3 linked regions of the Canis lupus familiaris genome follow. The protein of the gene in region 1 purifies or fractionates together with the protein of each later gene. This does not show direct contact. Links are inferred from orthologs where the notes say so. Each region holds a gene or a part of one and is shown in the gene's direction. Other genes may lie near its edges.

Region 1 (3,500 bases):
AAGAGGAAAATTAATACGATGAAGCAGGAGAGAGAGAGAGAGAGAGAGAACTTCTGGAACAATATCCTTGAAAAGGCAGGGGGCTGGAATCTAGCATTCCAGTGGGGTAGTTGGCCTTAGGAGCACAAAGAATTTGTCCATAATAACAGGGAAAGAAGTGGAGCATGTAGGAACAGCTGCAGTGACTGTGGAGATGACCTGATGGTGGGAGCAGGTAAAGCTTCTGTACTGATTGCTCCTTTTTTCTCAGTATAGGAAGCAAGGTTCTCAGCTGAAAGAATAGGGGAGGACAGGTTAACGTTTGAGTAGAGAGGAGAAAAGAGAAGGTATGAAATGATCATCTAGAAGAATAAACAGACCAGGGAAATGGAATATGATTGCTGAGCCAATAGCAAGGCCCACTTGTTACACTTATTTTTATATACTTATTTCTATACTTATTTCTGTATTTACAATTGTACTTTGACAGTAGGTTAAACTGCTTTTAAAAGCATGCCTGACAGCATGGGTTTTGCATATTCCAGCCACCAGGAGAAAAAGTGGCAGTTGATCTCTGCTATCAAATAAGAAAGAGGCCTTGTCTAATGACATTTCAGTCAGTCCATAGGCATATGATCCATGAAGTCCACAGAAGGTGTGTGTCCTAGAATATACTCTATATTTGTAAATATGATACTGATGGTGGTTTCTTTTCATTGGTTAGAATTAGGTTTAGCTGTCAGAGCTAGAGATCTGGAAAATGGTGGCAAAATCAAGATAGAAGTTTATTTTTCTCACTTGTGTGATGGTGTAGAATTAGGCAACCCAGGATGTTGCCCTCCTCTGTCTTGTCCAAAATGGAGCATTACCCTCATATCCACATCCCAAACAGCAAGGTGGAGGAGGTGGAGCTAGAGGCAAATAGCACATGCTGGAGGATAGGCAGACAAATATATTGTGGAGAGCCACACTGAAGAAATGAGAGTAGACACTCTCACATTCTCCATCTAGGCTTTTCACTCCAGAGAATGAAGCCCATTTCTTATAAACATGCGTGCTGTCCCACACTAGTCCAATGCCTACACGTAAGTGTATGCTCTATAAATCAGTAGAACACTTAGGGTAGGTTAGAATGATTTGCGTCGATAAAAGGAATATTGTTTTTTGGTCTAGCACCAGCTTGGTAAAATATAAGTAGAGATTTTTTTTAGCTATTAAGTTTAGCTGCAAGTGACAGAAAAAATCAAATATAGCAGTGGTTTAAACAGGATAGAAATGCATTTTTCCATGATATAAACAAAGTTGAGGCAACTGGTTTGGGGTTGGTATGATAACTGCACAAATAATCGTGTATCAGACATCGTGTAATTTGCTGCCCTGCCTATCTCAACATGTAGTATCCATGTTGTGTTCTTAGTGGTCGAGTTCCAGACGTAATATCCATATTCCAGCTAGTAGGAAGGAGAAAAGAGAAAAAATTCACTCCTCTCTCTTAAAAACATTTCCTGAAATACACACATGGCTTGTTCTTATATCCCATTAGCCCCATGACCACACCGCTGGGGTACAAGTGGAAATTTAGTCTTTATTTCAAATGGCCACGTGTCCACAACTAAAATTGTGTTGTTCTATTACAGTTCAACAAAGGTTGAACATTAGGAACAGATAGCTAGTACTTTTTGTCACAATGATCCTTCTTTATCAAGCAGTGTTTTGCAATCTTTTATAATCCATAACCCTTCAGCTAAGGTTTTCTGTTAACTTTTTAAGCTTGTCCTATCAATAAAATGAAAACAAATTTTATTTTTCAAATATAAAATTATAATATTAAAGGGACTTTTTTAGTGATGAACCACTTTTCTTGCTTCCTGTATTGGAATCAGGGATTTAAAGGAATGAGTAATCAATTCAATTAATTCATGGGTTTTGTTTGTTTGTTTTTTACCCTGTAGGTGCTTCAACTCTTTCCCAACAGACTCATTATATGAAAATTCAGTCTAAGGTTCAAATGTTAGAAGAGAAAACTAAAGAGGCTGAGAGAACAGCTGAACTGGCTGAGGCTGATGCTAGGGAAAAGGATAAAGAACTAGTTGAGACTCTAAAGCGATTAAAAGATTATGAATCGGTATGTATTTTTATCATGTCAATCAGGGAGTTTAGATTATTCTTGCCACTCCCAGACTGTTCTGTGCTATTTACTTTGTACTTTCAAAGACATTCCAGAAGTATTTTATGATAAAGGTTATCTTAGTTGGTTTATACTACACTATTCAGACCTTTGAGCAGCATTTACTTTTCAGCAGAATTGTTTTCTAACCATTTGATCAAAACCTTTTGCTCAGATAATCAGCTTTGGTGAAACAGCAAGTTTAGTTTCTTTGTAATCTGTGTCATTGTGCCACCATATGCATGTGACACCACTCGTTTATTTGCTAAAAGCTATTTCAGGGACAGTTTTGCTGCCTACTGTGCCAACACACAGTACTTACTTTGTACTTTTTGTATTTTTAAATCTGATTGCCACCAAGTCAAGCCACTAATGGCTTACTAATGGTGTCACTGATTCACTCTTATTATTCCTTTCCTATATTTTGTTAAATGTTTTTTGTTTTTTTGAGAGGGATGGATAAGGAGCTCCCTAGAGACAGTATGAACATCTGATTTGTCTTCATACCCCCTGAATCATCTAGCATGGTCTTATAATAGTCAATATTCACTACCTTTATTTTATTTATTTATTTTTCAAGAGAGGGAGAGCCTGAGTAGGATGATGGAAGGGAGAGGGAGAAAGAGAATCTTAAGCAGGCTCCATGCCCAGTGCCCAGCATAGAACTGGCTGCAGGCTCGATCGATCTCACAGTCCTCAGATCAGTAATGAGCTGAATGCTTAACCCACTGACCCACCCAGTCTCCCCTTGTTAGGTATTTTATATGTCATTCTCTGAGTCACTTTGTCGATAGAACGCTATACTAGAAAGTTTCAGCTGTTCCATTTTCCGTTGTTATTACTGGATTTGTTTTTTAAAAGCACAGTTTAAAGACATAAATCTTACATATAACTATACTTTCCCTCAGACTTAATAAGAAAATCATGAATTTCATAATTTATTCAAATAAACCACATTATACATAAATTAGATTGGATATTTTTCAGGGAGTATATGGTTTAGAAGATGCTGTTATTGAAATAAAGAATTGTAAAAACCAAATTAAAATAAGAGATCGAGAGATTGAAGTATTGACAAAGGAAATCAATAAACTTGAGTTGAAGATCAATGATTTCCTTGATGAAAATGAAGCACTGAGGGAGCGTGTGGGTAAGTCATTTTTTAAGATCCATAGTTTTATCAGTCTTAGCTGTCAAGCCATGTTTTGTTTATTTTTAAATAGTTGAGTGCTTCCCCCTCTTCCCCCCCAGATAAACCCTTCTAAATCAGTGTGATTGATGTGGGATGAGGGATTTAATGGGGTTGGGATGGTGACTGGGCCAGCCTAGAGCACTGCTTATTCTGTCTGGCATC
Region 2 (4,262 bases), on another chromosome or scaffold:
TCCCGGGTCTCCAGGATCGCGCCCTGGGCCAAAGGCAGGCGCCAAACCGCTGCGCCACCCAGGGATCCCATCTCTAACTTTTTCATCACTCCAAATGCCCCATTGCTTCCACTGCCCAGCCTCTAGTAATCTCTACTTTGCCTTTATGAATTTGTCACTATACGCACCCCATAAAGGTGAACTTAAACAATATTTGTACTTCTGTGTCTGGCTTATTTGACTTAGTATGTCTTCAAGGTTTATTATATTGGCTAGTTACCAGCTTCTTAAGGCTGAATAATATTCCATTGTGTGTGTGTAATGTTTTGTTATCCGTTCACCCATGGATAGGCCATTTGGGCTGTTTCCATATTTTGGCTATTGTGAATAACCAGTGCTATAAACACTCGTATATTAGTTATCTGTCTTGGGGCACCTGGATGGTTCAGTCAGTTAAGCATCTATCTGCCTTTGGCTCAGGTCATGATCCCAGGAGCCCTGAGCCCCAGAGTCCCACATTGGCCTCCCTGCTTCTCCCTCTCCTGCTGCCTGTGCTGTCAAAATCATGGTTGTGGAATCAAGTCAAAATCATAACAAGAAAAAAAAAATTATTTGTGTTAGGTTCCTGCTTAGTTTCCTTGGGTATACTCCTATAAGTAGAGTTGCTGGATATAGTTCCATTTAGCTTTTTGAGAAACTGTGAGACCATTTCCAGTGCCTGTACCATCTCACATTCAGCAATGCACCAAAGTTCTGATTTCTCCACACCTTCAGCAACATTGGTAATCTTCCCTTTTCTGGATACGGACTATCCTAATGGGTGTGTCAAATCTAAGTTAGAAATAAATTTCTCCTTCATCTGAGCTCCCACAATACCTACTGGTGTCTTTCACCCAGGTGTTCACTAAAATATTCTGAGCCTTCCTAGACACTAATCCTACTGCCAGAGCACAAAAACCTTTCCTCAAAAGTCTCCATCAAGGTCAAAGAGCGCTTCAAAAAAAACAATCTTGAGAACAAAGCAAGATGCTGAAGATTCCAGTGACAGCCCTTAGAACTAATCCTGTAAACCTTCAAAACCAAGTTACCAGACTACTTAACTTCCACCCACTGGAACCTCTGAATGACTTCTACAGATGTATACTTAATAGGAGTTACCTACTTTGGCAAGCGGATGCTTCTAAATTTCAACTCGACGTTCCCGTGAGCCTGATGTATAAGGAGACGAGCGTACCAGTCGTCTTCGCTTCACTGATGCTTTACAGCCTAAGAGCACTCTCACGTCCTGTCTCCTTTACAATTTTACAGGGCGGCACCTGATGCTCAGTTTAAATTTAAGAGCCCCCCCAAGACCAGACTGCAGTTAACTTACCGACTGTCCCTTTTTGTGCTTTCTTCTGTAGAGGACAGTCCAGTTGATCTGCCGAGGGTTCCTCTTGGAAAGGAAGGCCGACTCGCATTTTGCGTTAAGAAACTGGAAGACCTGCAGGAACACGTCCAAGGCGGTCAGCTCAGCCACTCGACTGAACCAAGCGGGAGGCTGAGCTTGGAACCCTGCAGACTCTCACTTCTACCGCCTCCCTGGCCCAGAGACCAAAAGGCTGTGTGCGGGTCACGGCCGGCAGGAGCGGGTGGCACCCCGAGGCCTTGGGGCATCCGTCCTGCCGACACGGAAGCCGGTGAACCGAAGCTCCCGGGGCAGGGACGGGCGGGGCATCCCGGGAGGCATCCAGCCCGGTCCCTACCCGGGTCCCGAGAGGCCTGGTGCCCCCAGCATAGCCAGGTGCTTGGGCCGTCCGTTCCCCGGGCCGCCGGAGTTCCCAAACTCCTAACCTCCGACCTCGCTCACACTACGTCCAGCCTCGGAAATCGGCTCACTCCGAGGCTTCCTATCCTAACAGCCACTGCACCCGCGGCGCCCGCAACAAGCGCCTCAGGGGCCGGGAGCGAGGGGGGACGTGCACACGCTTAGACCCAACCGGGCCGCTCCCCTCCTAGGGGCGCAAGCGGCCTTTCACCTTCCCGTCGGTCCTGGCGTAGCGCCTGCCATGTCCGGGGTAAATCTTGTACCCACTGAAACTGCACAGCTCGACCCTGTAACAAAAAGCCAAGAGAGCCCGTTAGGGGGGGTGTCGACGGCAAGGGGCAGCCGAGCCCAGGACGTGCGAAGGCGGCTCGGCCCGAGGATGGAAGCGGATTGCGGCCCGGGGTCTTGCTCACTTCATGGCTGCGGCGGCCGGGAAGACGGCGAGACGGCGAAGAGAAGGAGAGCATCATGGGAAGAAGCCTTATAAGCCGGCAGGCCGAGCCCCTCCCCGAGTCCCTTCCGTAACCCCGGCGCTCGGCGATGACGTCAGCCACAGCCGCCTCCTTCCGCTGAAGGCGGAGCCGGCGCGCGGGGCGCGGGGCGCGCGGTCGGTTTCGCGGTCGTGGCGTCTCCTGCGGTCGGGGGTCCTGAGCGTGGTCCTGCCGCGCCGAGTGGGACGTGCACAGCCCGGTGACCGACAGCCAATACCCACAGGTAAAACTTCAAGTCACACAGCTCCGTGCTGCCCCACGAACTTCACCAGCAAAATCAAATTTTAATGGTTTCAGCTTTGGAAAATAGTAATGCCATCTGAAGTGGCTCCCACGCCTTGCACTGATCGGCATTCATGGACTTCTCTTTCTGCGCTAGGGAGTATGCCGGAGCATTTACACGCACTTGTGTAGAGTTTACGAAATCCCCAGTGAGTACGCGCCGAGGCCCTGCGAAGTGACAGCCGCCTGTCTGGGAAGAGGAGGCGTCACCTTCCGCCTATTGCAGCCCGGGGGCAGGTGGTGGAACAGTGAAAGGCAAAGCCCTTGCTCCGAGGCTTGGGAAAGGGAGCCCTGGCCAAGCCCACGGGGGGGGCAGTGCCTCAATAGCTTGAGCCCCGTGACGCTAGAAAGGAGCAGCATGTTGGGGGGTAATGGAAGGAGGCAGTCCTTGAATGGCGTTTTGCAGGATTTGACTAGGAAACAAAAATGCAATGATTGATGCTGCCTGTATAAGCTGCTCCCTCTAAAAAGCATCGGTAAGTGGTAGGTGGAAAGATCTGGAAAGTGCAACGAGGTGGCTGACTGATGTTAAGATGTTGGAAGCTGTACGGTTATGCTGGGACCAGTCTCAAGAATGAGCTCATAGAGGGGCACCTGGCTGCTCAGTCAGTGGAGCGTGTGACTCTTGATTTTGGGAGTGTGAGTTTGAGCCCCACCTTGGGCATAGAGATTACTTAAAAATAAGATCTTAAAAAATAAGAATGAGTTAATAGAGATCAGCGTGGAATCAAAAAGCAAAGGGGAGGGATCCCTGGGTGGCGCAGCGGTTTGGCGCCTGCCTTTGGCCCAGGGCGCTATCCTGGAGACCCGGGATCAAATCCCACGTCGGGCTCCCGGTGCATGGAGCCTGCTTCTCCCTCTGCCTGCGTCTCTGCCTCTCTCTCTCTCTCTCTCTCTCTCTCTCTCTGTGACTATCATAAATAAATAAAATTAAAAAAAAAAAAAAAAGCAAAGGGGAGGAATTTGACATTCCAACCAACTCTTACCAGTTTTTCAGAATACCTGGTTACTTGGAATACATTGTTTAAATACACTATGGGCAGATGGACGCCTCGGGCTCCCATGGCTTGATGAACTTAGCTATGACATTGATACAGCTCTCTTTGTTTATTATTATTATTATTATTATTATTATTATTTGCTCTCTTTGTTTTAAATCACTCCTGATTAAACAGATGTTTGATCATTTGGGAAAAAAAAAAAAAAAAAAAAGAGAAGAAAACGACCTGGCTTCTATAGGCGATAAGGCCCAGCTGGAATGAGTAGAAGATGGGGCCAAGATTTATAAGCAGGAATTTGATCCACAGAACCCCAGGATTTATAGTACCTTCCCAAGCATTTTAGGAAGATTTTATTTCACTGGTCTTCAAAATTAAGTTTGGCCTGAGTAGCTCTGTGGAGGAAAAGCAGAAAACTAGACCTTAAGGATTTTAGGGCTTTTACTCTTTCTTGGAGGGCATTCTTGAGCTGGCATCTTAGGGTTCTTTGTAACACATTGTATATATCACACCTTAAACTATGCTCAAACACTCTTAGAATAAGAAGAAAATATACAGAAGCCTCTAAAAGTATTTTATATACTGTCATAAAACGGCTTCCAACACCATCTATAAATTTCTGGTGACTTTATCCTTACACTCTTATTGATTGATTGATTGATTGATTGATTGTTTGGAGCCTAATGCGGGGTTTGAACTCACAAC
Region 3 (4,232 bases), on another chromosome or scaffold:
AATCAAAGGTTCAAAAGAGATGCAGTTTACTGAGATGGTTCAGAATATCTACCCCCGCCCCCCGAAAAAAAGAAAGAAAGAAAAAGAATATCTACCCAAGGAACAGACTAAACAAGACCTCTCATCAGCCAGAGACAGTAAAAGTGAACTGGGGAGGGAATATTTCCCTATCAGCCTCAGGGCATTGGCTCCCCCTCTCCACAAAGGTGGGTCCTTTGCGCCCTTCCAGCTGTCACCTTACTATTTGCGCGTTCATCGGCAGCACCCCGGGACAGCTCCGCAAAGTTTCCCTCTCTGCTTCCCGATCCCCTGGAATCTGTCTGCACAGGGTTTACGCACAGCTGCTCAACTCCGGCTCCTTCCACGAACCGCCCGGGACTCCAGGCAGGGCAGCGGATAGCGCCGGGCACCCCATTTCCCAGCAGAGCAAGGGGGGGTGTCTGTGGCAACACGACTCCGGAGAGGTTTGTGCCTCCACTTCCCCACACGGCCAGAGTCCCCCCTTCCTCCCGGGGACCGTCCTCACTCACAGCGTACGGTGTGGAAGGCGCAGCGCGGATGCTTCTCAAAACTCTCGCCTAACTTGAGAACCCGCTCGCGCCGGTCCCTGGACGCCGGTCCCGCTGCTGCATTCATCTTGACTCTCCGGCTCCAGCTTCGCCGCCGCCACCTGCGCTCGCTTCCAGCGGCCACCTGGTCCCGGAGCAGCTGCACCTGCGGCCGCCAGGGCGGCCTGCAGACTCCGCCCCCCGCCGGACGCGCGCGCCCTCCCCCGCCCCGCCCCCCGGCGCCCCTCGAGTGCTGATTGGCTGCCCGGAAGGGCGCCCCGCCCCGCTCCAGGATCCCGCTCCAGGATCCCGCTCCCGCCTCCGGGTGCCTTTCCCGCGTCGCGACGCACGGCGTCCCGGGGAGGCCGCGCGGCGGAGGTGCGTGGTGGGAGTCGGGAGCTGCGGCGGGGGAACGCCGAGAGAGGCTGAGGTAAGCCGGCCGGGGCGGCGGCCGGGGAGCGAGAGGGAGGCCTGGGCCCAGCGTCCCGGCACCGGGGAGCTCCCAGCGGGAGAGTCTGCCCCGTTTCTGTGGAGATCTGTGGTGGAAACTGAGGCCCGGGGAGGGGCGGGAGCGGGGGCCCGCGGTGCGTGTTGCCCGCGGCCTGGTGGCGCCGGAGCAGGTGGAGGATCCGGAGCGAAGGAGCTCGCTGCCTCGGAGCCTCGGACCTGGGACCTCACCGGCGGCGACGCCGTTACCTCGGGATCGCCTCCTGTTCAGAGAAAGTCCCCGGTGCTGTGAGGGTCCCGACCGGGGACGGGGAGGAAGGAGAAGGGAAAAAAAAAAAAAAAAAGATTCGGAGTTAGGAACTGCGGCGGCGTTTAGGATCAGCGGCAGCCACGTTGCATCAAGTAGCCTTTTATTTATTTCCTTCCCAGGGATCTTTGGAGGCAGTAACGGCAGGCCCAGGAAGACGACTTCCCCAAGCCTCAGGCCCCAGCTCGTGCTGTGACAACAGGGTAAATAGCATTAATAATTGAAAAATAATTGCCTTTTTTTTTTTTTCTGTCAAAAGTTCATGAGTGTCAGGATAAAGATGAGGAGGGAAGGGTTGTGTGAGGAGAAAGTTTACAGACGGTTGCCGGAACGGGTGGTGGCTTTTCAGGGTAAGTGTGTAATTACGCTCTGCTCCCTTACTTGACCTGTACCGTAGCCAAATTTGCAGATTTATTGTTCTGGGCGAGTAGGTGACTAGGGCTCCTCAATCTGTCTGCTTGTCTCAGTTTTACTCTTGAAAGGACTTAGGAAGGCTGTGTAGTGTTGTAATTAAGCGCTCAGGTGCTGGAGCCAGAATTTTTTTTTTTTTAAGATTTTATTTATTTACTCATGAGAGAGGGAGAGAGAGAGAGAGAGGCAGAGGGAGAGAAGCAGGCTTCACGCAGGGATCCTGACGTGGGACTCAACCCCGGGTCTCCAGGATCATGCCCTGGGCTGAAGGCAGGCACTAAACTGCTGAGCCACACAGGGATTTCTCCCCTTTTCAAATTTTTTTTTTTTAAGATTTTATTTATTTATTCATGAGAGACAGAGGCAGAGACGCAGGCAGAGGGAGAAGCAGGCTGCATGCAGGGAGCCCGACATGGGACTCGATCCCAGGACCCCAGGATCACACCCCCGGCCTTCCGGGGCTAACCCACTGGGCCCCCTGGGCTGCCCCTGGAGCCAGAATTTTTGTATTTGAACCGCAGCATGAATTCATACTTTACAGTGTAACTTCATGCAAACTAAAGTATGCTCATCGTTAAAATTGGGGGGTGGGGGGTGGATAATAGTGTTTACTCCTTAGAGTTGTTGAGAGGGTTAAGTGAATTAATACATGAAAGGATTTAAAACCATTCACAGCACACAGGAAAAGCTCTTCAAATGGTTACCATTATTGATGTGTAACCCTACTGTCCGACAACATTTTTTTATTTTATTTTTTATTTCTTGAAGATTTTATTTATTTATTCATGAGTGACACAGAGAGACAGGCAGGGACACAGGCAGAGGGAGAAACAGGCTTCATGCAGGGAGCCGGTCCTGGGACCCGATCCCGGGACCCCAGGATCACGCCCTGAGCCAAAGGCAGAGGCTCAACCTCTGAGCCACGCAGGCGTCCCTCTGGTAACATTTTAGAACCATCCTTGGTTTCTACTTTCTTTTCAAAACCTTTAGTTATTCTAGAAAGTAGGAATTGCTAATTTGTTTACAGATAAGAAAACTGATTCAGAGAAGCCCAGTTTTCTGACTATGCGGTCTGTTTTCTTATCATTTGTGTTATCTATTTGGCACTTAAAGTAGTTTATATAATTATTTTATATCACATATGTGTATATATGTGCATGTATACTTTTTTCTTTCCCAAACAGAACATGAATATCAGGGACTTTGGTCCCATATAAAATTCTTGTGACCCATGCATCCAACATTGTGCCCTACGCATGTGTTTGGTGATGATGATAATGTTTCACGGGTGTTTTAGTATGTTAACCAGAGGGCAAGAGCTGTGTTTTAAGCCTATTTTACTTAAAAAAGACTACTAATTAGAAATCTGAGGTTTCCATATTGTAATAAGGAAGAAAGCAGAGAGTCAAGAAATTAAGCTTTGAAATGCCCAAAGTTTGTGCATTTATCCCTTCTTTCAACATATGTTTGTATAACATATATAAAACTTTTTCATACAGAAAAGTTTTAGCAAATAAAATTGGGATGCGTTTTTTGACTTTAAAATAATGGATTTTATATACTCTTCTGTTTATAGACAAGCTTCTATTTATGTTATAATTAACATCTCATTTCCAAGTTGTGTGTTGGAGATCAACACACAACAAGACCAACGCCAGGTTCAGTGATTCATTGGGAAGGCTCACAGTTCTTAAGATATAATCAGATTCATAACTATGATTTTTTTCAAGATTTATTTATTTATTCATGAGAGAGAGAGAGGCAGAGAGACAGGCAGAGGAAGAAGCAGACTCCTGCGGGGGCCCGATGTGGGACCCGATCTCTGGACTCCAGGATCATGCCCTGAAACCAAAGGCAGACCGCTCAACCGCTGAGCCACCTAAGAGTCCCATGGCTATGATTTACTACAGTGAAAGGATACAAAGCAAAATCAACACAGAGAAAAGGCAAATGAGGCAAAATCCCAAGGAAAACTGGTGTAAACTTCCAGGAATCTTCTCCCCATGAATTCACATTTGACACACTTAATTCTTCTATAATGAGTTGTGACAGTTTGAAGTATTGTCTACCATAGAAGCTCACTGGAGATTCAGTGACAAAGGTATTTATTGAAATATGATCATGTAGGTATCCTCTACTACCTAGTACCAGAATTCCAAATTTCTGGAAGGAAACAGACATTCTGCATAAACCACATTGTTTTCACACACTTTGGGCACAGTGAGCCACTCTTACTCGGGAATCATGGAAACCCTCTGAAATCCAAGTTCCTAGGCACCAGCAGGGCCAATCTTGTCTCGGGTCTATGTTAGCTCTTTTCTGCACCCAGTGTCTCTTTTAAAAGATAAAAGAAAGCAGTTTCTATCCCTGGATTATTGTGCAGATCAGAGAGAGTGAATGTGGAGCACCTAGTACTTCCTGACTCTTGGTGCATAATAGATAATATGTACCGTAGCTGTCACAGTAAGTTATAGGAGTTTCTAGCTCTTTTAAAAGTATTCTAGTTAGAAAAACCAGAA

The links. The genes of interacting proteins can lie anywhere in the genome.
Region 2: the proteins of CEP290 (region 1) and CEP97 purify together in Homo sapiens (co-immunoprecipitation; 4 studies listed by BioGRID and IntAct, with this or other methods). This does not show direct contact. The link is inferred for Canis lupus familiaris from reciprocal best matches to the Homo sapiens genes CEP290 and CEP97.
Region 3: the proteins of CEP290 (region 1) and IQCB1 purify together in Homo sapiens (co-immunoprecipitation; 8 studies listed by BioGRID and IntAct, counting the BioPlex papers as one, with this or other methods). This does not show direct contact. The link is inferred for Canis lupus familiaris from reciprocal best matches to the Homo sapiens genes CEP290 and IQCB1.

The regions. Positions count from the first base shown.
Region 1 is NC_049236.1:29,559,394-29,562,893, reverse strand, and holds part of CEP290 (centrosomal protein of 290 kDa), read left to right. Parts: intron 1-1,931; coding exon 1,932-2,104; intron 2,105-3,133; coding exon 3,134-3,296; intron 3,297-3,500. UniProt on the Homo sapiens protein: Involved in early and late steps in cilia formation. Its association with CCP110 is required for inhibition of primary cilia formation by CCP110.
Region 2 is NC_049254.1:8,434,857-8,439,118, forward strand, and holds the start of CEP97 (centrosomal protein of 97 kDa), read left to right. Parts: upstream 1-1,462; 5' UTR 1,463-1,997; coding exon of another isoform or gene 1,998-2,073; 5' UTR 2,074-2,199; coding exon of another isoform or gene 2,200-2,204; 5' UTR 2,205-2,500; exon of another isoform or gene 2,501-2,708; intron 2,709-3,756; exon of another isoform or gene 3,757-3,952; intron 3,953-4,262. Other genes in the region: RPL24 (60S ribosomal protein L24), read right to left, coding at 1,352-1,462, 1,998-2,073, 2,200-2,204. UniProt on the Homo sapiens protein: Acts as a key negative regulator of ciliogenesis in collaboration with CCP110 by capping the mother centriole thereby preventing cilia formation. Required for recruitment of CCP110 to the centrosome.
Region 3 is NC_049254.1:25,743,839-25,748,070, reverse strand, and holds the start of IQCB1 (IQ calmodulin-binding motif-containing protein 1), read left to right. Parts: upstream 1-1,432; 5' UTR 1,433-1,505; intron 1,506-4,232. Other genes in the region: EAF2 (ELL-associated factor 2), read right to left, coding at 531-636. UniProt on the Homo sapiens protein: Involved in ciliogenesis. The function in an early step in cilia formation depends on its association with CEP290/NPHP6.